Macaca mulatta: one gene and its partners. The protein of the gene in region 1 purifies or fractionates together with the protein of each later gene. This does not show direct contact. Links are inferred from orthologs where the notes say so. Each region holds a gene or a part of one and is shown in the gene's direction. Other genes may lie near its edges. The genes, in order: OS9, DERL2, SERPINA1 and HSP90B1.

Region 1 (5,269 bases):
GAGAGAAATGGAAGAAGAGGAGGACGAGGATGAGGATGAGGATGAAGATGAGGATGAACAGCAGTTACTGGGAGAATTTGAGAAGGAACTGGAAGGGATCCTGCTTCCGTCAGACCGAGACCGGCTCCGTTCGGAGGTGAAGGCTGGCATGGAGCGGGAACTGGAGAACATCATCCAGGAGGCAAGCCCAGCTCCTCCTCCTGTAATTCCACAGCCGCCTGGTCCCGTGAAGCAGGACAGGCTGAGGGACTAAAAGAAACAGAGAGCACAGCACAGGGCAAGGACGGGGCACTTGGAAATGATAGCTGTTTCCCTAATTAATCGGGGCTATTGGGGAAGGGGGACCAGAGAGAGGCACAAGACTTAAATATCAGACTCTCTGGCCAGGCACAGTGGCTCACGCTGTAATCCCAGCACTTTGGGAGGCCGAGGCGAGCAGATCACCTGAGGTCAGGAGTTCAAGACCAGCCTGGCCAACATGGTGAACCCTCTCTACTAAAAATGCAAAAAACTTAGCCAGGCATGGCAATGGGCACCTGTAATCCCAGCTCCTTGGAAGGCTGAGGCAAGAGAATCTCTTGAACCCGGGAGGCGGAGGTTGCAGTGAGCCGAGATGGCACCACTGTACTCCAGCCTGGGTGATGAGCAAAACTCCATTTCAAAATATCAGACTCTCCTACACAGCCCAGCCCGCTGGCTGCCTCCACGCCCCAGACCCTTGACTCACTCTCTTCTCTTGGGTATTCCAGACCGAGAAGGAGCTGGACCCAGATGGACTGAAGAAGGAGTCAGAGCGGGATCGGGCAATGCTGGCTCTGACATCCACTCTCAACAAACTCATCAAAAGACTGGAGGAAAAACAGAGTCCAGAGCTGGTGAAGAAGCACAAGAAAAAGAGGGTTGTCCCCAAAAAACCTCCTCCATCACCCCAACCTACAGGTGAGAGCAGTCAGACAAGAAGGAGTAGCCCAGTCCGTTGTTTTCATCCCTCAGCTGGTCCTATTCCCAGAGGGGACCCTGTTCCTTCCCTTCTGAGGGTGCTTATTCTCTCCCCGGTTTCTGGAACACTGTCCTCACTTGCACCTGCTTCCCATCACCATCATCCCTTTGCGTGCTTACCTCCTATTCATCCCTCTGGGAAGCAGCTTTTAGAGCATGTCTGCCTGTTTTCTGGTTTGCTCCTGTACACCCAGTACCTAGCACTCTGCCTGGCACACAATGGATGATCAGTAGGTAGTAATTGAATGCTTGCGAGTCTATATGTGAAAACCACACATCTATGAAGGATGCAACCTGTCAACATTTAGGACTTTGCACCAAGAGAGTCCCCAGCTGTCAGGGCATGAATAGGAGAGCCCAGCCGCACATGAGCCAATAGCCTGGATAGACTTTAAATTATGTCTTCTTCTTGCATCCCCTTGTGTCCATTTCATAGGGTCCTATGGGTGTGGACATCAGATGTTCCAAATGAAATGTTCCAGTTTCAAACCCTCCATCCCATTCTCCCTATAAACATTGAAATGTCTTTAAAGTCCTAACATATGGAGGAGGAGACCACACTTTTCCAACCTGCTTCTTCAGACAAAACTTTGTTGGTGCAGGTGGCCTGCTTTTGGCTTCAGAAAACATTTGTTTTCCTATAGGTGATGGGCAGAATTATTGGGTAGGGTGGGAAGACGGAAGGCAGCAATTGGTGGAGGGAGCTCTATAGGCTGAATTGGGAGTGGGGGCACACATTTTTTTGAGCCCTGGCTCATACACATGTTGAGATGGAATAGCTGCCAAAGCTGCCACCCCTAACCCTGGAGTCATGCCTCTGCTTTGTGTTTCCCTGTGTGTCTCCCCCTCTAAGAGGAGGATCCTGAGCACAGAGTCCGGGTCCGGGTCACCAAGCTCCGTCTCGGAGGCCCTAATCAGGATCTGACTGTCCTCGAGATGAAACGGGAAAACCCACAGCTGAAACAAATCGAGGGGCTGGTGAAGGAGCTGCTGGAGAGGGAGGGACTCACAGCTGCAGGTGGGCCCTGGAGGGCGGCTGGACCCAGCACTGTCGGAAGGGCAAGCTGCCGGAAGTGGAGGGGCTGGGACCAGTGGGGCAGGGGGCCTGCCCTGAGGCTCCCAGCCATCCTCTCCTCTCACTGCATACTGCTCCTTTCCAGGGAAAATTGAGATCAAAATTGTCCGCCCATGGGCTGAAGGAACTGAAGAGGGTGCACGTTGGTTGACTGATGAGGACACAAGAAACCTCAAGGAGATCTTCTTCAATATCTTGGTGAGAGGCTTCTACCCCCAAGTCCTGGCCCCCAGGCCTCCTGTCCCCAGCCCGCCTGGAGTGGAGGTGTGGGCCTGCCCCAGCCATGCCGTTGCTGAGCTTCCGTTTCCTGATCTGTAAGACAAGGCTAGGGTTCCAGTGATTCAGAGTGCTGCCATGCAGGAAGAGCCTCTCAGGACATGGGTGTCCTCATTCCCTGCCTTCCCCCAGCTGCCTGGCCCAGGACTTCCTTGGGCTCAACAGCGAGTAGCTCCAGCCCACCTCTACCCTCTCCCACCAGGTGCCGGGAGCTGAAGAGGCCCAGAAGGAACGCCAGCGGCAGAAAGAGCTGGAGAGCAATTACCGCCGGGTGTGGGGCTCTCAAGGTGGGGAGGGCACAGGGGACCTGGACGAATTTGACTTCTGAGACCAACACTGCACTTGACCCTTCATAGAATCCAGAGTCTTCCTGGACTGGCCTGCCTCCTCCCCACCTCCCCACCCTGGGACCCCTGAGGGCCAAACAGCAGAGTGGAGCTGAGCTGTGGACCTCTCGGGCAATTCTGTGGGTGTGGGGGCCCTGGGTGAATGCTGCCACCCCAGCTGGCAGCCACCTTGAGAGCTCACCCGGCCTGTGATGTTTGCTCTCCTGAGCTTTCGCTCAATCCTCTTCCTCTTCCTCTGTGGCTTTTCTTGTTATTGTACTCTAATGATAGGATATTCCCTGCTCCCTACCTGGAGATTCGGTAGGATCTTCTGAGTGGAGGTGGGTAGAGAGAGCAAGGAGGGCAGGACACTTAGCAGGCACTGAGCAAGCAGGCCTCCACCTGCCCTTAGTGCTGTTTGGAGTTGCTTTACCCCCTTCTCTTGAATTGCCTTGAGATGTCCTTCTCCCTTTCCCTGCCCACCCTGTCCCCTACAATTTGTGCTTCTGAGTTGAGGAGCCTTCACCTCTGTTGCTGAGGAAATGGGAGAATGCTGCCCATCACCTCCAGCACAATCCCAGTGAAAAAGCTGTGAAGCATCCACCATGTTCTTGAACAATCAGGTTTCTAAATAAAGAACTGGACCATCAATCTGTCAACCTTTTTTGTGGGGTGGGGGTTCCAGCAGGGAGGAGGCTCAGTGTTCTTTTCAGATCATGCTCTGATCCTGTTCTTTGCTCCCCACTCCCCAGGTACTATAAACGGGGGCTGGGGTATGCAGGAAGAGACCAGAGTGGCTAAATGAAGCCTGGCCTGGCAAGGATTGAAAGAAACACTTGCAGTACCGTCATCTTCTTTTTCTCATCTGTCTGTTTCTGTTCCTTCCCTTCTCTTGCACCAAGTCTTTCCCTATCATTTCCCCCTTTATACCCTGAAAGCCAAAATGCACACCATGGAGTTCCCCACAGCAGGGATCTTCCTTCTGCTGCGGTCTCGCCCACAGCATGCTCCAGATTCCATTTGTCACCCACACCCCTACCCACCTGTCCTTTCAACATTTCCCAAAAAGACCTCCACCTTTGGGCATGCCCAGAGAGAGGGCTGCTGCCCACACATGCCAGTTTCTTAGTGTGCCAAGGGTATGTGGGCCTGGTGTCTCCCTTTCTTCTTCACTACCAAGTGCAAGCATGGGTCCCCCAACATGCCTCCTCCCAGTGTGGAGGACTCTTGATTTTTTTTTTCTTTCTTTTATTGAGACAAGAGTCTCGCTCTGTTGCCCAGGCCGGAGTGCAGTGGCCCGATCTCAGCTCACTGCAACCTCTGCCTCCCAGGTTCAAGCAGTTCTGCCTCAGCCTCCCAGTGACTGGGATTAAAGGCATGCACCACCATGCTCTGCTAATTTTGCTCTGAGGTGAACGGCCTTTCTGCTGAAGGCTCCCCCCGGGCTCACAGGAAAGAAAAGGGATAGAGGAGCCAGGCACGGTGGCTCACCCCTGTAGTCCTAGTACTTTGGGAGGCTGAGGCGGGAGGATCACTTGAGGCCAGGTGTTCGAGACCAGCCTGGCCAACATGGTGAAACCCTGTCTCTAATAAAAATACAAAAAATTAACTGAGTGTGGTGGCGGGTGCCCATAATCCCAGCTACACGGGAGGCTGAGGCAGGAGAATCGCTTGAACCCTGGAGGCGGAGGTTGCGGTGAGCTGAGATCACGCCACTGCACTCCAACCTGGGCGACACTGTGAGACTGTCTCAAAAAAAAAAAAAAAAAGGATAGAGGGCCGGGAACTCCCACATGTCTGTAAATGGAGAGTGAAGGATTCAACTGTTGAAGGAAGCTCTTGCTGAATGTGGACTAGTGCTTACTGTGCATGCTATGCTTACGTTGTTTTGTTTTGAAGTGTAAATTGGCAGACTTAGAAAACCCTGCTTCCCCTGGTCCATCTGTGCCCCCTGAGGGAGGGATGCTCTAGCTGGGCAAGAGCTTAGACACTGCCTTGAGGGCAGCAGTAGTCAGAATGCTGTGCCCAGACCACACCCCTCATCTCCCACCAGCGGGGCCTTGAACAAGTCACTTAACTTTCTAAATGCTGTTTCTTCATTGGTAAATTGTAGACAACAGTACTGGCTTTTTAAGATGGTTGCGAGGATTTAATGACATAGAGTGTATGTCTTGCTTTTAGCACAGAACCTGGCCCGAAGTAAGTGCTCACTAGCTTTCTATTATAAGCTAGCTCTTGAGTTCTGAAAAGACTGGGTTACTTGGAAGCAAGGGTCTCAGGAGTCCCCACAGCTGATCAGCAGCTCAGAATGGGAAGGGGCTGGGGCAGGAGGACTGTGCTTTGATTTGCTGGGGATGGAGTCTCAGCATCGCCAGAAAGCAGAGTTTTGGAAATCTCACTCTGTCAATCATTTTGTACTTTCAATCAAAATTCCTTTTTCCTTTCCTTTGGCAGCACTCCCATGGTGAAGGTCGGTCTGCCTCAGCTGTGCTAAGACAAACAAAAGGAGGGGAGCAGGGTGTGGCAGATGGCAGCCAGCAGGGCTGCAGGGAAGGCTGGCGGATGGCAATAGGGCATCCTGCATGGCAGGGCA
Region 2 (5,242 bases), on another chromosome or scaffold:
AATTCCTTGTATACTTGAATATGCATATCAGTAACTAGAGTTCAGTATTTATGTGCAACAAAATAAATCTTGAGTATGTCAACTGAGTTTCTATAAATGCACACTTCTGTGTATCTATCAAGACAGAAAATTACCATCAATCAGAACGTTCCCTGATATCCTTCCTTGTCAGTCATTGCACCTGTCCCCCAAGAAGCAATTGCTATTCTGATTTTGTTCCTCTATAGATTAGTTTTTCATGTTGTGCAGCTTCATGAGTAGAATCGTACAGTATGCATGTACTCTTTGGTAAAAGGCTTCTCTCATTCAACATAATGTTTTTGAGACTCATCTGTGTTCTTGTATTTATTGGTAATTTGTTCCTTTTTATTGCTGAGTATTATTTGGTTGTGTGAATGTACCACTGCTTTCCATCTGCCCTTTCCATCTGTCCTAACCTGATTCTTATTATGATTAATGTTTTACCTACCTAATTACCCCTCATATGTAACCAGTCTTTTGTGATAGTCTCCACCTCCCCCATATGGATGCCTTGCTCGTCTCACTCACCCTCAGATTCCCCAGACCAGGCTGCCCTCTTACGGGGATGCCTCCCCACCCTACTCAGGCTAACATCTCGTCGGGCCACCTCCATGTGTGCATGGTCTGATGGGGCTCTTGACTCCCTATACCAGGCTGTGCCCCCACCCCCATCCTGCTAATGTTTGGGCAGTAGAAGGGGTCTCAGTTTTGTTTTTGTTGTCATTGCTAAGGATTCTCACTCTGTTGCCCAGGCTTGAGTTCAGAGGCTCAGTCTCGGCTCACTGCAACCTTCGCCTCCCAGGTTCAAGTGATTCTCCTGCATCAGCCTCCTGAGTAGCTGGGATTACAGGCATGCACTACGACACCCGGCTAATTTTGTATTTTTAGTAGAGATGGGGTTTCGCCATGTTGGTCAGGCTGGTCTTGAACTCCTGACCTCAGGTGATCGGCCTCCCAAAGTGCTGGGATTACAGGCATGAGCCACCACGCCTGGCCGGGATCTCAGTTTCTAATGTACTTTCCTTTGATTATTGTGAGAGCAAACATTCTCACGTTTATTGACCACATGGATTTCCTTTTTGAATTGCCTATTCAGCCCTTTGCCCATTTTTTTCTGTTGGTTTGTTTTTATTGTTAATTCATAAGAATTTTAAAAACTCATTTTGAAGTATAGTTTTTCTGACTCCAGTATAAATTAGAAGTTTTCAAATACATTTCTAATTTTATCAACTGTGGGGGATTACAAGTAGAAGTATAAGTGCAAATTGAGGATGCTGCTTTAATGGTTCCTTCTTTAGTGAGGTTTTGAATTACTACATCCTAGTACTTAGAGAGTCTTTTGGACATTTACTATCCCCTCCTATGTTCTGCAGTAATTTTTCTTGGGATACCTTGTGAATTTTTTAAAACTTTTGTAGTAAAATAATACCTAACATAAAATTCACCATCTTAACTCATTTTAAATGTTCAGTGGCATTAAGTATATTCATACTATTTTGCTGCCATCACCACCATCCATAGAACTCTCTTCATCCTGCAGAACTGCAACTCTGTACTCATTAAACAACTCGCCACCCCAGCCACCACCATTCTGTTTTGTTTCTCTGAATTTGACTACTCTATGTACCTCATAAGTGGAATCATACAATATTTGTCCTTTTTTGTCTGGCTTATTTCATATTTCATTTAGTGTAAAGTCCTCAAGGTTCATCCATGTTGTACCATGTGTCTGAATTTCCTTCCTTTTTTTTTGAGACAGTCTTGCTCTGTTGCCAGGCTGGAGTGCAATGGAGCAATCTCAGCTCACTGTAACCTGTTCCTCCCAGGTTCAAGCGATTCTCCTGCCTCACCGTGCCAGGCTAATTTTTGTATTTTTGGTGGAGACAGGGTTTTACCATGTTGACCAGGTACAGTAGCTCATGCCTGTAATCCCAGCATTTTGGGACGCCGAGGTGGGCAGATCACCTGAGTTCAGGAGTTCGAGACCAGTCTGGCCAACACGATGAAACCTCGTCCCTCCTAAAAATACAAAAATTAGTTGGGCATGGTGGCGGGTGTCTGTAATCCCAGCTACTCGGGAGATTGAGGCAGGAGAATTGCTTGAACCCAGGAGGTAGAGGTTGCAGTGAGCCGAGATCGCACCACGGCACTCCAGCCTGGGCAACAGAGCGAGACCCCATCTCAAAAAAAAAAAAAAATTCTGTAATATGTATGTACCATATTTTGTTCATTCACCTGTTGATGGACACTTGGGTGATACCTTGGTTATGGGGAGACATTAATGATAAATATGTGAAAGTCAGCTTACAAAAGTAGTGTGATCTAACTTTTGTAAAATTACATAATGTAAAAGTTCCCAAAGAATAACTGAAACATTGACAATAGTTACCTCTGGGAATTTAGGATATTTTGCTAATCTCTTGTTTTCTCCTTCTCTATAATTATTATGATTTGGGTTGCTTTTCTAGTAAAAATCAGTGAAAGATAAAAGCTAATGTAAATGTTAATAATTATAGATGCTCTTACAATATGTTGACTGTTTAATTGGCAGGCGGGTGTAGTGCTTACCTATGGGTGGAAACCCTGTGGGACCTGAACTGACCTTGTAGTACTTTGGACCTGAGATGACTCTGGGACCAAATTATATCTGTTGCCTGTCTTTTAGGAAAGCTATTTTTGATACACCAGATGAGGATCCAAATTACAATCCACTACCTGAAGAACGGCCAGGAGGCTTCGCCTGGGGTGAGGGCCAGCGCCTTGGAGGTTAAAGCAGCAGTGCCAATAATGAGACCCAGCTGGGAAGGACTCAGTGATACCCACTGGGATTCTTTTATCCTTTGTTGCAAAAGTGTGGACACTTTTGACAGCTTGGCAGATTTTAACTCCAGAAGCACTTTATGAAATGGTACACTGACTAATCCAGAAGACATTTCCAACAGTTTGCCAGTGGTTCCTCACTATGCTGGTACTGAAAGTGTAATTTCTCGGAGCCAAAAAACTGGAGAAACAAATATCCTGCCACCTCCAACAAGTACATGAGTACTTGATTTTTATGGTATAAGGCAGGGCCTTTTCTTCCTCTTGATAGATGAGGCCATGGTGTAAATGGAAGTTTCAGAGAGGACACAATAAAACTGAATTCCATTTTTCTCTCACTGTATTAAAGCTTTTGTGTGTGATCTTTTAAATTCTGATAATGTATTGTAGCTCTCCTGCGTAGATCTGAGCTCAGAACAGTTTACACAGCTGTTCTTCTGTGTCTTCACAACTTTTAACTGGATTTCATTTCAGGATTGGAAATACGTGGCTGTCATGCTGTGGTTGTGTACATCTTACTAATTCAGAATGCAAGATTCACCAGGAAGATGATTTATTTCTGTCATCTGGATAGGTTGTTTCCATCTGGGTTTTGCAAAACTGTCAGACAACGTGGAAAAAAAGGAGGGAGGATGCTTCTTGTAGCAGTAGGAATTCAGCTATAGGAAAGTCAGCTGTAAGCTAATGTGGCATCTTATTTGCTTTGCTTACATTTCTCCATTAAGAAGTATCCAGGGAAAGATTGCTAAGGGCCACATTTTTGGAAAACTAGGAAGATTTTCATTAGACTTTTTTTTTTTCTTTTCTTTTTAAAAAAGTTTTAATTAAAAAAAATTTTTTTTTTAATAGAGATGGGGTCTCACTGTGTTGCCCAGGCTGGTCTTGAACTCCTGGACTCAAGAAATCCTCCCACCTCAGCCTCCCAAAGTGCTAGGATTACAGGCATGAGCCACCCAGCCTTTTAAAAAAATTTTTTTTGCCTTTTTTTTTTTTTTAATTAAAAAAAAATAGAGACAGGGTCTCAGATTTTCATTCGATTTAGAAAACAAGTTAGAATGTTGACTTTGGAGCCAGATGAACCGATACCAGTTAGCCAGGCACATGTTCTTCCAGGGTCTTTGGCTAGGTAACATTAGTGATTTGCTTCATGAAAATTCAAGAACCTTTTCAGAACCAAGTACCTAGATTACCTTCCCAATCAGGTAGAACTTAAGACAGGGTCCGCAGAAGTAGACACTTAATGCTGTGGTTCAATAAATACCTCCCCTAAGTATTAAGTCTTCCCTGAGTCTCAGCAGGTTTGCATTCACACTGCTTAAGTAACTCACAGAACCTGGAAGAGCACCGCTAGGAAAGAGATGATTCCAAACAGCTTTCATTAACAGTGTGTATGCACCAGTCCCTTTCCCAAAAGTGGACTGTTAGTAGTAGTTCAACCTTTGTTAAGGGGTAGCTTTCCAGAATGTGAGATTGTCCTCAGAAAGACAGATATAGGCTTAAACATAACGGACATCCTAAATAGGAATTTTCAGATTGTTTTTGAAGTGAAAAGTGTTTTAATGTCTTTAAATGGAATTGCGTAACTAATGGAATTTAAGTATTTTACATGTTGCTAGTAACTTTGAATATGATTGTTGCAATTTTATGGAACCTGGGTCTATGGGACTGCTTTTTCTTTAAGCAGTTTAAAAAAGGTTTTTAAAGTTTAAAAGCCAGTCTTAGCATGTATAATCCTTACGGGATTCTTAAGTTTTATCCTCTTGTTTTTGCTCAAGAATGCTTTATCAGTGACGTTTGTTTTGTTTTTTGTTTTTTTAAATTGTTTTTGGGCTAGAAATGAGTTTCTCTAGTTTTATTTGTTCTCCCTGAGTTGAGTTATGCAATGAATGGCATTTTTGTGGTAAAATGCTGATCCTAAAATCTATTCACTCACTGTTCATTTAAGTAGGGAATATCTGTATACGTTAATGACTGGGTAAAACAGGAAGTACGTTTTGAATATACAGCCTAAAGGCAGGCAGTTACAGGGTTTTTTGGTTTCTCTGATTTTATAGGGTGCAAGTTCCCAGTGGTAGGATGCCCTGCTGTGCGACTACACTGTGTCCTGAGCAGTGTCACCTCTCATCAGTTTGGCCAGCCCTACAACCACCATGCCTAGCCCTGTGTTGCTTGAGAGGATACCTGTGCTGGAATGGACATAAGGAAAAGTCCTTACTTTCCCCCCAATTTACCTCTCTCAATCTTAGTTCTTCCAGAACACACTTCCCTTTCCCAATGCAAATAAACTAAAAGTGAGATTTGATACATAGAATTTTGTGACCAACTAACCTTACACATAATTTGAGGGATTCCTGGATTCTTCCAGTAATACTGAAAAGCACACTTGACTAAAGCATAGTGT
Region 3 (5,038 bases), on another chromosome or scaffold:
TGAGGGATGTGTGTCGTCAAGGGGGTTCAGGGCTTCTCAGGGAGGGGACTGATGGCTCCTTTATTCTGCCACACTCTTCCAAACCTTCACCCACCCCTACTGATGCCCGCCTTACCCTCTCTGTCCAGGCAAATGGGAGAGACCCTTTGACGTTGAGGCCACCAAGGAAGAGGACTTCCACGTGGACCAGGCGACCACCGTGAAGGTGCCCATGATGAGGCGTTTAGGCATGTTTAACATCTACCACTGTGAGAAGCTGTCCAGCTGGGTGCTGCTGATGAAATACCTGGGCAATGCCACCGCCATCTTCTTCCTGCCTGATGAGGGGAAACTGCAGCACCTGGAAAATGAACTCACCCATGATATCATCACCAAGTTCCTGGAAAATGAAAACAGCAGGTGATTCCCCAACCTGAGGGTGACCAAGAAGCTGCCCACACCTCTTAGCCACGTTGGGACTGAGGCCCGTCAGAACTGACCAGAGGGTTGGAGAGGGTGAACACTACATCCCTGGGTCACTGCTACTCTGCATAAACTTGGCTTCCAGAATGAGGCCACCACTGAGTTCAGGTGGCACCGGCCATGCTCCATGAGCAGGACAGTACCCAGGGGTGACGAGGTAAAGGTCTCGTCCTTGGGGACTTCCCACTCCAGCGTGGACACTGTCCCTTCCCAATATCCAGTGCCCAGGACAGGGACAGCAGCACCACCACACGTTCTGGCAGAACCAAAAGGGAACAGATGGGCTTCCTGGCAAAGGCAGTAGTGGAGTGTGGAGTTCAAGGGTAGACTGTCCCTGTGGGGATGGGGGAAGAGCCTGTGTGGCTAGGCCCAGAAAAGCAAGGTTCAAAATTGGAATAGCCAGGGCATGTTAGCAAAAGGCTTGAGTTTCTCTGTCACTTTATCGGTGCTGTTAGATTGGGTGCCCTGTAGTAAATGATACTCCAATATGAGTCACACATTAGTGTGTCTGTGTGCATTCGTAATTATGCCCATGCCCTCCTATCTAGTTTATTTTGTACACTGTAAAACCAAGATGAAAATACAAAAGGTGTTGGGTTCATAATAGGAATTGAGGCTGGAATTTCTTTGTTTCACGCCAGCACCTCCTGAGGTCCCTGCTCCAGGGGTTGAGAAAGAACAAGGAGGCTGAGAGGGTAACTGATCAGAGAGCCCAAAGCCAGGCTGCCCGCTCACACCAGACCCTGCTCGGGGCGGCTCTGTCTCCCCATGGAAAACAAGAGGGGAGCACTCAGCCTGGTGTGGTCAGTCTTCTGGGGGCACTGCTACCAGCCCATGTTCCTCTGGGTATAGGACCCTGGGGATGTTTCAGGCTGGGGGCCCAGTGACCAAACACTACAGGGCAGGATGAGACATGCTTCCAGTACACCTAGAATCTCAGAGGAGGTGGCATTTCAAGCTTTCATGATTCATTTGATGTTAACATTCTTTGACTCAGTGTAGAAGAGCTAATAGTAGAACAAACCAAAGCCAAGTTCCCATGTTAGAGTGGGTGGAGGACACAGGAGTAAGTGGCAGAAATAATCAGAAAAGAAAACACTTGCACTGCGGTGGGTCCCAGAAGAACAAGAGGAATGCTGTGCCATGCCCTGAATTTCTTTTCTGCACGGCAGGTCTGCCAACTTACATTTACCCAGACTGGCCATTACTGGAACCTATGATCTGAAGACAGTCCTGGGCCACCTGGGTATCACTAAGGTCTTCAGCAATGGGGCTGACCTCTCGGGGATCACGGAGGAGGCACCCCTGAAGCTCTCCAAGGTGAGATCACCCTGATGACCCTGTTGCACCCCGGGATCTGTAGGGAAGGATGTATGGGGGCTGCAGTTCTGTCCTGAGGCTGAGGAAGGGGCCAAGGGAAACAAATGAAGACCGAGGCTGAGCTCCTGAGGATGCCCGTGATTCACTGACGCGGGACGTGGTCAGACGGCAAAGCCAGGCAGGGGCCTGCTGTGCTGCTGGCACTTTCAGGGCCTCCCTTGAGGTTGTGTCACCGACCCCGAATTTCATCTTTGCCCAGGACCTTCTAGACATTGGGCCTTGATTTATCCATATTGACACAGAAAGGTTTGGGCTAAGTTGTTTCAAAGGACTTTGTGACTCCTTCGATCTGTGAGATTTGGTGTCTGAATGAATGAATGATGTCAGCTAAAGATGACTCTTACTTTGGAAAACTAAAGGTGACCAAAGAACAACTGCAGTTCCGTGAACGGCTGCGTTGTCTTGGGATCTGGGCACTGTGAAGGTCACTGTCAGGGTCCATGTCCTCGAGGAGCTTCAAGCTGTGTGCTAGAAAGGAGAGAGCCCTGGAGACAGGCGTGGAGTGGCGATGCTCTTTCCCCTTCTGAGTTGTGGGTGCACCCTGAGCAGGGGCATAGGCGCTTGTCAGGAAGATAGACAGAGGGGAGCCAGCCCTGTCAGCCAAAGCCTTGAGGAGGAGCAAGGTCTGTGTGACAGGGAGGGAGAGGATGTGCAGGGCCAGGGCTGTGCAGCGGGAGAAAGGCCTGAGTGAACGCTTCCTGGGAGGTGTCCACGTGAGCCTTGCTCCAGGCCTGGGCTGGGGCACAACTCAGCCTTAGAACATGTCTCTGCTTCTCTCCCTTCCAGGCCGTGCATAAGGCTGTGCTGACCATCGATGAGAAAGGGACTGAAGCTGCTGGGGCCATGTTTTTAGAGGCCATACCCATGTCTATTCCCCCCGAGGTCAAGTTCAACAAACCCTTTGTCTTCTTAATGATTGAACAAAATACCAAGTCTCCCCTCTTCATGGGAAAAGTGGTGAATCCCACCCAGAAATAACTGCCTGTCACTCCTCAGCCCCTCCCCTCCATCCCTGGCCCCCTCCCTGAATGACATTAAAGAAGGGTTGAGCTGGTCCCTGCCTGCGTGTGTGACTGCAAACCCCTCCCATGTTGTCTCTGGGTCTTCCTTTGCCTGCTGAGGCCGTGTGTGGGCTCCAGGTCACAGTGCTCTCTCCGGACCCCCTCAACTGTGTTCATGGAGCATCTGGCTGGGCAGGCATATGCTGGCCCAGGATGGAGGGGGCTGAATCCTCAGCTTACGGACCTGGGCCCATCTGTTTCTGGAGAGCTCCAGTCTTCCTTGTCCTGTCTTGGAGTCCCTAATAAGGAATCACAGGGGAGGAATCAGATACCAGCCCATGACCCCAGGCTCCTCCAAGCATCTTCATGTCCCCCTGCTCATCCCCCACTCCCCGCCACCCAGAGTTCCTCATCCTGCCAGGGCTGCCTGTGCCCACCCCAAGGCTGCCCTCCTGGGAGCCCGAGAACTGCCTGACCATGCCCTAGCCCTGTTTTGTGGCATCTGCAACAACAAAAGAGAGAGGACCGTGTCCTCTTCTTGTCCCACTGTCACCTAACCAGGCTTGGGCCCGGCGCCTCTTGGGCACTTCTGGAAAACAACTGAAGCAGATTCCTCCTGAAGCCCATTCTCCATGGGGCGACAAGGACACCTATTCTGCCCTTGTCCTTCCATCGCTGCCCCATAAAGCCTCACATGTCTCAGTTTAGAATCAGGTCCCTTCTCCTCAGATGAAGAGGAGGGTCTCTGCTTCTTTTTCTCTATCTCCTCCTCAGACTCAACCAGGCCCAGCAGTCCCCACAAGACCATTACCCTATATCCCTTCTCCTCCCTAGTCATGTGGCCATAGGCCTGCTGATGGCTCACGAAGGCCATCGCAAGGATTCCCCAGCTATGGGAGAGGAAGCACAGCACCCACTGACCCCTGCAACCCCTCTCTTTCTCCCCTGAGTCCTGACTGGGGCCACATGCAGCCTGACTTCTTTGTGCCTGTTGCTGTCCCTGCAGTCTTCAGAGGGCAGCCGCAGCTCCAGTGCCATGGAAGGAGGCTGTTCCGGAATAGCCCTTGTGGTAAGGGCCAGGAGAGTCCTTCCATCCTCCAAGGCTCTGCTAAAGGGCACAGCAGCCAGGAGGTCCCCTGAGCCCCCAGCTGAAGGACAGGCTGCTCCCTCTGTCTCTACCAGGAATTGCCTTGTCCTGTGGAAGGCACTGACCCATCCCAAACTAATCTTGGAATCCCTGTCTAACCACTCACTGTCATGAATGTGTGCTTAAAGGATGAGGTTGAGTCAAACCAAATAGTGATTTTTGTAGTTCAAAATGGTGAAATTAGCAATTCAACATGATTCAGCCTAATCAATGGATACCAACTGTTTCCCACACAAGTCTCCTGTTCTCTTAAGCTTACTCAGTGACAGCCTTTCACTCTCCACAAATACATTAAAGATATGACCGTCACCAAGCCTCCTAGGATGACACCAGACCTGAGAGTCTGAAGACCGGTATCCCCCTGTCAGCTGTGTGACTTTCATGAAGTCGCCAAACCTTTCTGAGCCACAGCCGTGGCCAGTAAGACCTGCCTTTGAGCTGGTACGATGTTCAAGTCAGATAAAAAAACACCGTTTACACCTATTAGAGCAGAGAATAAATAGAGCTACATTTCTTGCATTTATGAGCTTTCTGTGAATCAGACATCCCTGTGAAGAACCTCCCTGGCTATTTCTCATTTAATAACTGTAGCAGCACTGTGATGTGTGAGTAGATCCGCTGTGCTCTTAAACTCCAAATCTACATATGAGGAAACTGAGGCTCAGAGAGGCTGCTGGTCTCCCACAATGTCACATAGTTCATAAGTGGCAAAGCTGGCTTGATGGGCTACTCGTTCCTCTGAACCACACCACCTCACCACACTCTCCCCTTCGAGGGTCATGCTAAACTTCTGCAGAGCTAATTCCTCCTTAAACCATAAGGGTTGCTGGTGGCCCACAGCTCACGCCTAGCACGCTTCATGAGAAAAACGCCCTCCACCCAATGTGGAGCAGGCCCTGAGCTGAAGGTGGTGAGCAGAAGCTCATCCACCAGATGTTGACACAGCCCGCGGCCTTGGGCGACCCACAGGACTCCTCTTATTTAACTGGCATTTGGTAGGAGAACAGGGGCAGAGTCAAAGACAAGTGGGCTTTCCGGAGCAGCCAGG
Region 4 (6,684 bases), about 46 Mb from region 1:
TGGCCAGGCTGGTCTTGAACTCCTGACCTCAGGTGATCCGCCCACCTCGGCCTCCCAAAGTGCTGGGATTACAGGCGTGAGGCACCGCGCCCAGGCCGGAGAGCCAATCTTTAATGAACAGAGCTGATCAGACAAGGGCCCGCCATCTTCTGCCAGCCTACCGTCTGGTGCTCTGCCTGCCTCATGAATTCCCACCATCATCTGCAGAAACGTCTACCCACACGCAGTGGCTCTATTTTGAAGGATATGTCTCAGTCTCAGTTCCCTCCAGGTGCAGCACCAACTCCCCACCACTCACTAGTTAAGGTGGCATTTGCAGTTTCAGAACTGGTTGCTTACTTATTCAGAATTGGAGGAAAAGGTGAGCTGTGAAATGCGAGGGGAAAAAAGTGAACTCATTTTTCTCTAAAAACAGAAAATAAAGGAGTTAAAATACACAAAAACGCAACTGAAATCTCTGAATGTAATTCACCCTCTAGTATGCTCTTTTTAAAAAAGATGAAAGCACAGAAGCATGCATAAAGCATTCTTTGTAAGCTACTCTTTGCTTACTAATAACAAATGTAGGTAAATTGGGCAGATGTAAATAAGGCACCACCACAATACGTGAGCGCCAACCACAGAGCCAAGATCCGCACACCTAAATATGGGAAGTTGTAAAAGACTATGACAGACTGTCACTAAAAAGCTTGTCTTCAGGAATTCGGATGATTATCTGAAAAGATATTCAAAGTTCAATTTTATTGGAGGAAGCAATAAGGAAGGGGGATGTGTATGTCAGAGATGGGCGCGGATATGCGTGTGGGTAATGTATAGAGTAGGTTAAAGGGACGTAGAAAATATTTCCAAAGGTACAAGTTTAGCATGAGGGACTTCCCTCACAGGAAAGACACCTGGTGTTTTATACGTCCTTCTGAACACGGACAGGGTATTTCTATGAAGTTACAAAGCTGCAAATCCCGTTCTCATGTGCAGCACCACAGGTTTTGCTTTCAAATATCTGCAGGTGCATCCTCCTGCATTCGTTAAACTAAGGGTTTTCCTTTTCTGTGCTAGACCCACATTTTCCACCACGCTCTCCACCTGATTCACAGAAGGGGTTCTAAGACCGTCAGGTCGGGGAGGTCCCAACCATCTTCTGTAAACCAGATCAGGAAGGCCTGGGGATTCCGGCTGCGCACAGACGAGGTGAAGGCCCGGGCTGCCCAAGTGACACACTTGTAGGCGGATTCGGAAACGCGTGCTCTCGAGCCGGAGGCGGAGCCCCCAGACTCAGACCGACCCCCCAGAACAAGGCGGCCTTGCCCGAGGCGTCAAGGCTTTCTAGGCCCGCTTCTAAAAGCTGTGTACAATGGAGACTCCTGGAATAGGCACATATCTCTACTGTAATCAGAACGAGATGTAACATCTAAGACGCAGGACAGGGCTCCGGCAAACACACGCTGGGGGAACGTGAAAGTAAGGGCCAAACTACGCAGCTGGTCCTCAGAGACCAAAGACTACGATTCCCAGCATTCAATGCAGTGTACCCCATAGGACATTGCATGTCGGGAGCTGTAGTTTCTCACCACCTCCATCTGGAAGGGTTCTAGGGGATTTTCAACCACTCTCGTGTGTTTCTCCTTTCCGAGAAGCGCCGCCACACGAGAACTCTGGCCGCGAAAGTCGTGCTGGAATCACTCCCAACGTAACCCCAGATATAGATGGGAAAGGGTGAAGAACACGTTGCCATGGCTACCGTTTCCACTGGTCACAGAATAAACGCTCTCTAGGATCCGGAAGTAGTTCCGCCGCGACCTCTCGAAAAAGATGGATGTGTTCTGTGCTTACATTCATTGGACGGTTGCCCTTAGAGGCCACAGCCGCCCAGGCAAAGGGGCGGTCCCACGTGTGAGGGGCCCGCGGAGCCATTTGATTGGAGAAAAGCTGCAAACCCTGACCAATCGGAAGGAGCCACGCTTCGGGCATCGGTCACCGCACCTGGACAGCTCCGATTGGTGGACTTCCGTCCCCCCCACGAATCCCCATTGGGTGCCGTGGGTGCGTGGTGCGGCGCGATTGGTGGGTTCATGTTTCCCGTCCCCCGCCCTCGAGAAGTGGGGGTGAAAAGCGGCCCGACCTGCTTGGGGTGTAGTGGGCGGACCGCGCGGCTGGAGGTGTGAGGATCCGAGCTTAGGGGTGGGGGTGGAGGCGGCTCCTGCGATCGAGAGGGACTTGAGACTCACCGGCCGCACGCCATGAGGGCCCTGTGGGTGCTGGGCCTCTGCTGCGTCCTGCTGACCTTCGGTGAGTGATCCTAGAGGAGCAGACGTCCCCCCTCTACACACGCGGCCGCTTCTCGAAGGTTCTGGGGGCGTTGAACCTGGGAGGGGGGATCCCGAGGCCTGCGGTGGGCCAAGGGACGTCACCTTTCCTCGAAAGAGGGCCAGGGGATTACGTTTATTCTCTTCTTCCTCTGGAAATAATAAAAGAGAGCAGAATCATCTAACTCCCCTACAGATCTAATAATATCTCGCCCGGAGGTCTCAGCGACCTCGGGGTGGGGCCTCTCTGGGGCTCTGGCTCCCCCGGGAGTTGTGAGGAGTCCCTCCCCCCTCCCCGCCCGGAGGACTTTTTCGGCCACCGCTACCTTCGGCCATCCCAGCTTTCCCGTCCGGTAATTCCCCAGACTCCGACTCCTCGCAAGCGCGTGTCCTTTCTTAAGAAGATGCTGGCTTGGGAGCGTGAGGCCTGGGGCCAGCGGAATGGCAGTGTCAGCGTGTTTGATTCGGTTTTGCTGGAGCTCGGTTCTTAACATTTCGCCCCCTTCTCATGCCTCTGGGCTCAATTTCAGTTCCTCTCGCCAGAGATTGCATAAATCCTATTTGCATTCTGACCTGTGATAACGAAGGCCGAAGTTTTGGTTTGGTCAGTTGGGAGGCCTTGGCTCGGCCTGCGCGCAACACGTGTGGTTGTAGAAGAGACCTGGTGTCAGTCTGCTTAACGTTATTTATAAATGATCGGAGACACACTGTTTAGAAGTGGTGACTACCTCAGTATTTCAGAATCTACTGGGGACCTCAACATCAGAACTTAAATAGATGTGCTGTCTTGGCTTTACCTTGGGTATTTAAACCAGGGAATACACTCTTTCATCCCCTCCACCCTTATTTACCAGCTGAATTTTGCAACCCCTACCCTTCCCTATTTGATCATCCTCCTTGGAGAAGTGCGATGTTGAAGAGTTTTCCCGTGTTAAATCTTCAGGGTCGGTCAGAGCTGACGACGAAGTTGATGTGGATGGTACAGTAGAAGAGGATCTGGGTAAAAGTAGAGAAGGCTCAAGGACGGATGATGAAGTAGTACAGAGGTTTGTGTTCATTTGAACTTACCTATACAGATAAGCCCTGTGAACCTTGTGAGTTAGGGTCACTTCTTATGTATCTCTTCTCCAAAGGTCCAGATAAAGTCTAACACCCTGTATTTAAATACCTGGTGAGTTGTGTGCATACATACCTCCTAACTTGTCCCTGGGAGTGATTAAAACTGAGTGAATTCCTTTGAAAACTATATTGCAGAATACTAGCACCACGAACTTTGTAAGACTTTAGAAAAGAGTTTCAGTTGGATTTGTATTCATTAACTGTGTACGCCGAGTAGTTTAAAAATGGGATTTCTGTCAGTTGAACAATATTTTAAAATTTGGCCTCTTGGGATTTATTGACAGTTTTGAAGTCCTCACCGTGGAGCATAAATGAGTATGACTTTGCTTTTTAGTAGAGGAGACTTGGGGGTTTTTTTTCTGGCAATTTTAAGAACCAGGTATTTCCAGTGCAATGTTAAAGGTAGCCTACTGCTGTGCTAACATAATGAGATGGTATATCAGTAATACTTTATAAGGGTTTCCATTTTAACCCCCAAGACAATATTTAGAGGCCACTGTGCTCGCATCATAATTCCTCTAGTTTTGAAGGGAACTAAGCCATGCAATATTTGCTTATCTAACTGATTTCCTTAGAGAGGAAGAAGCTATTCAGTTGGATGGATTAAATGCATCGCAAATAAGAGAACTTAGAGAGAAGTCGGAAAAGTTTGCCTTTCAAGCTGAAGTTAACAGAATGATGAAACTTATCATCAATTCATTGTATAAAAATAAAGAGGTAAGCAACATGTGGTTAGAATATTTTGTCTCTATATGGTGGCATACTTGTTTACTTAAATTTGCTTGATTTACTGCAAAAGTAATGTACTAACCGAGTAAGTAGCTAACAACCTTTAAATACTTAATATGTCCAAGAATTGTTACTAGATATCTGGGAAGAAAGGGAGCATCAGACATTTTCTTTTTCCTTTACCTCTAAATAGGTTCATGGCCTGATAATAGTTGTGATTCTAAGGGCAGTCTCGTAAATTAAACTTCTTGCATTGTATACCTCAAGATCACTGTCAGATGGGTAGTGTTACTACCCTTACCAGCTAATGTATCCCTTATAGTTGCCACAGTTCTTTGTGTAAGGAGCTATGCCTTTTTTTAATCAAAAGAATAAAGCCACTCCTATACCATAAGAAGTCTTAATTCCTTAAAGAGTGCTTTTATAAGGTACAGAGAAGAAATAAAATGGGTTTGGCATAAAATGAATATCTTAATGTATCTTGAGGATAGTCTTAAGTGTATTACCTCTGGCTTCCATTTAGATTTTCCTGAGAGAACTGATTTCAAATGCTTCCGACGCTTTAGATAAGATACGGCTAATATCACTGACTGATGAAAATGCTCTTTCTGGAAATGAGGAACTAACAGTTAAAATTAAGGTAAGTGTAAGGCAGTTTTTCTTTCTTTTAAAGGAAAAGGAATCCTTAGAGGTAGAAGATCCCTATCGGTCAAGATAGGCTAGATTATATTGCAATGACAAAAAACCCCCAAGCCTCAGTGGCTTGAAAGTCAGCAAACTATGGCTAAATCTGACTTTACTTGTTTTTATAAGTAGTTTTATTGGAATGCAGCCATGCCCATTTGTTTATTATCTGTGACTGCTTCTGTGTTTCAACAGCAGAGTCAAGTTGTTTTAACAGAGAACATGAGTCTCCCACAGCCTAAAATATTTACTATGTGGCCCTTTACAGAAAAAGTTTGCTAGCCCTTGGCTTAAATCATTGATCACAGTCTGCCTGTGGTCTTTGCTCTGCTTCATCCCCATGCTGGGACAGAGGCGTGGGCAGCCATCTGTAGTGTGTAGACGGTTGCCATGGTGCAGAGCAAGCTTAGAGGGTCTCATACTACTATAATTAAAGGCTCAGCCTGAAAGCAGAGCTCTCATTTACGACTCATTGGCCATTTATAACTCATTGGCCAGAACTAGTCACATGGCCTTAGCCATTCTTAAATGGAGAAAGTAGAATCCTCCTAGGTTTCTGGAAGGCAGACAGCCAGGAATATTGAGTGAAGAATATTAATGATCCATCACAGATTCCAAATAGAAGAATCATTCAAGTTGTTTTGTTTTCTATTAAAGAAATAGGCAAGACATAAAATTTTATTTTTCTTGAATTGTTTTTCTTCAAAGGTAACTTGTTTTATTTAGGTCAGCCTCTAACCCTTGACATTTAGACCAGTCTGCCCATTTGATATTAATACTTTCTCAAATACATAGATTACTTTAAGATGTACACTTTCAGAAAAGGCCACAAAAAACTATGTAGAGGAAAATATCTCAGTTTAGTTTTCTGTATTGGAATTGATGGGACCCAAAGCTGGTTAGTTCCTCAATATTTGCTTGGCGTAATGTAAATATTAAATACAACTATCTGGTTCTTGTCTTGCTTTTAGTGTGATAAGGAGAAGAACCTGCTGCATGTCACAGACACCGGTGTAGGAATGACCAGAGAAGAGTTGGTTAAGAACCTTGGTACCATAGCCAAATCTGGAACAAGCGAGTTTTTAAACAAGATGACGGAAGCACAGGAAGATGGCCAGTCAACTTCTGAATTGATTGGCCAGTTTGGTGTTGGTTTCTATTCCGCCTTCCTTGTAGCAGATAAGGTTATTGTCACATCAAAACACAACAACGATACCCAGCACATCTGGGAGTCCGACTCCAATGAATTTTCAGTAATTGCTGACCCAAGAGGAAACACTCTAGGACGGGGAACGACAATTACGTGAGTATAACTGATTCCTAATAATAATTAATAGTCATGGTGAGGATCTTGACTCTCCAGTTCTATTCTCTGAGCAAATGACTTATTCTGGGCCTTAATTTTCCTGCCTATAAAATGAGGAAACAGAACGGTTACCATCACTTGAAGAAATGTTTGAGGACCTGCAAAGGGCCAGGCACAAAGGTTTGTGATTGCTGGTGTACATGGAGGGTACAAAGTAGGAAATAGCAGCTCCCCCAGGGGAGAAGGCTTCTTGGGTACCCACAGAGGAGGCATGGTTTGTCAGTTTCCCAGGTTAGAAGAGTAATTTGTCTGTGGAGCATCCTGAATAAAGGCATGCTCACTAGATGAAGAGAGTTCTTGGTGGCAGTTATGGATGGAAAGTGATGAACTTTTTTTTTTTTTTTTGAGACGGAGTCTCGCTACAGCCCAGGCTGGAGTGCAATGGCACGATCTCGGCTCACCGCAACCTCTGCTTCCCGGGTTCAGCCTCCCGAGTAGCTGGGATTACACGCATGCGCCACCACGCCCTGCTAATTTTGTATT

The links.
Region 2: the proteins of OS9 (region 1) and DERL2 purify together in Homo sapiens (affinity purification with western blotting; 3 studies listed by BioGRID, with this or other methods). This does not show direct contact. The link is inferred for Macaca mulatta from reciprocal best matches to the Homo sapiens genes OS9 and DERL2.
Region 3: the proteins of OS9 (region 1) and SERPINA1 purify together in Homo sapiens (affinity purification with western blotting; 4 studies listed by BioGRID). This does not show direct contact. The link is inferred for Macaca mulatta from reciprocal best matches to the Homo sapiens genes OS9 and SERPINA1.
Region 4: the proteins of OS9 (region 1) and HSP90B1 purify together in Homo sapiens (affinity purification with mass spectrometry; 6 studies listed by BioGRID and IntAct, with this or other methods). This does not show direct contact. The link is inferred for Macaca mulatta from reciprocal best matches to the Homo sapiens genes OS9 and HSP90B1.

What each region holds. Positions count from the first base shown.
Region 1 is NC_133416.1:64,897,630-64,902,898, forward strand, and holds the end of OS9 (protein OS-9 precursor), read left to right. Parts: coding exon 1-181; intron 182-749; coding exon 750-939; intron 940-1,852; coding exon 1,853-2,017; intron 2,018-2,159; coding exon 2,160-2,272; intron 2,273-2,552; coding exon 2,553-2,678; 3' UTR 2,679-3,327; downstream 3,328-5,269. UniProt on the Homo sapiens protein: Lectin component of the HRD1 complex, which functions in endoplasmic reticulum (ER) quality control and ER-associated degradation (ERAD).
Region 2 is NC_133421.1:6,977,592-6,982,833, reverse strand, and holds the end of DERL2 (derlin-2), read left to right. Parts: intron 1-2,686; coding exon 2,687-2,792; 3' UTR 2,793-3,189; downstream 3,190-5,242.
Region 3 is NC_133412.1:167,654,493-167,659,530, reverse strand, and holds the end of SERPINA1 (alpha-1-antitrypsin), read left to right. Parts: intron 1-128; coding exon 129-399; intron 400-1,634; coding exon 1,635-1,782; intron 1,783-2,628; coding exon 2,629-2,820; 3' UTR 2,821-2,896; downstream 2,897-5,038.
Region 4 is NC_133416.1:111,148,069-111,154,752, forward strand, and holds the start of HSP90B1 (endoplasmin precursor), read left to right. Parts: upstream 1-2,237; coding exon 2,238-2,286; coding exon of another isoform or gene 2,287-2,455; intron 2,456-2,629; coding exon of another isoform or gene 2,630-2,639; exon of another isoform or gene 2,640-2,876; intron 2,877-3,246; coding exon 3,247-3,349; intron 3,350-3,997; coding exon 3,998-4,139; intron 4,140-4,674; coding exon 4,675-4,791; intron 4,792-5,806; coding exon 5,807-6,138; intron 6,139-6,684. Other genes in the region: uncharacterized protein LOC144333002, read right to left, coding at 1,833-2,455, 2,630-2,639.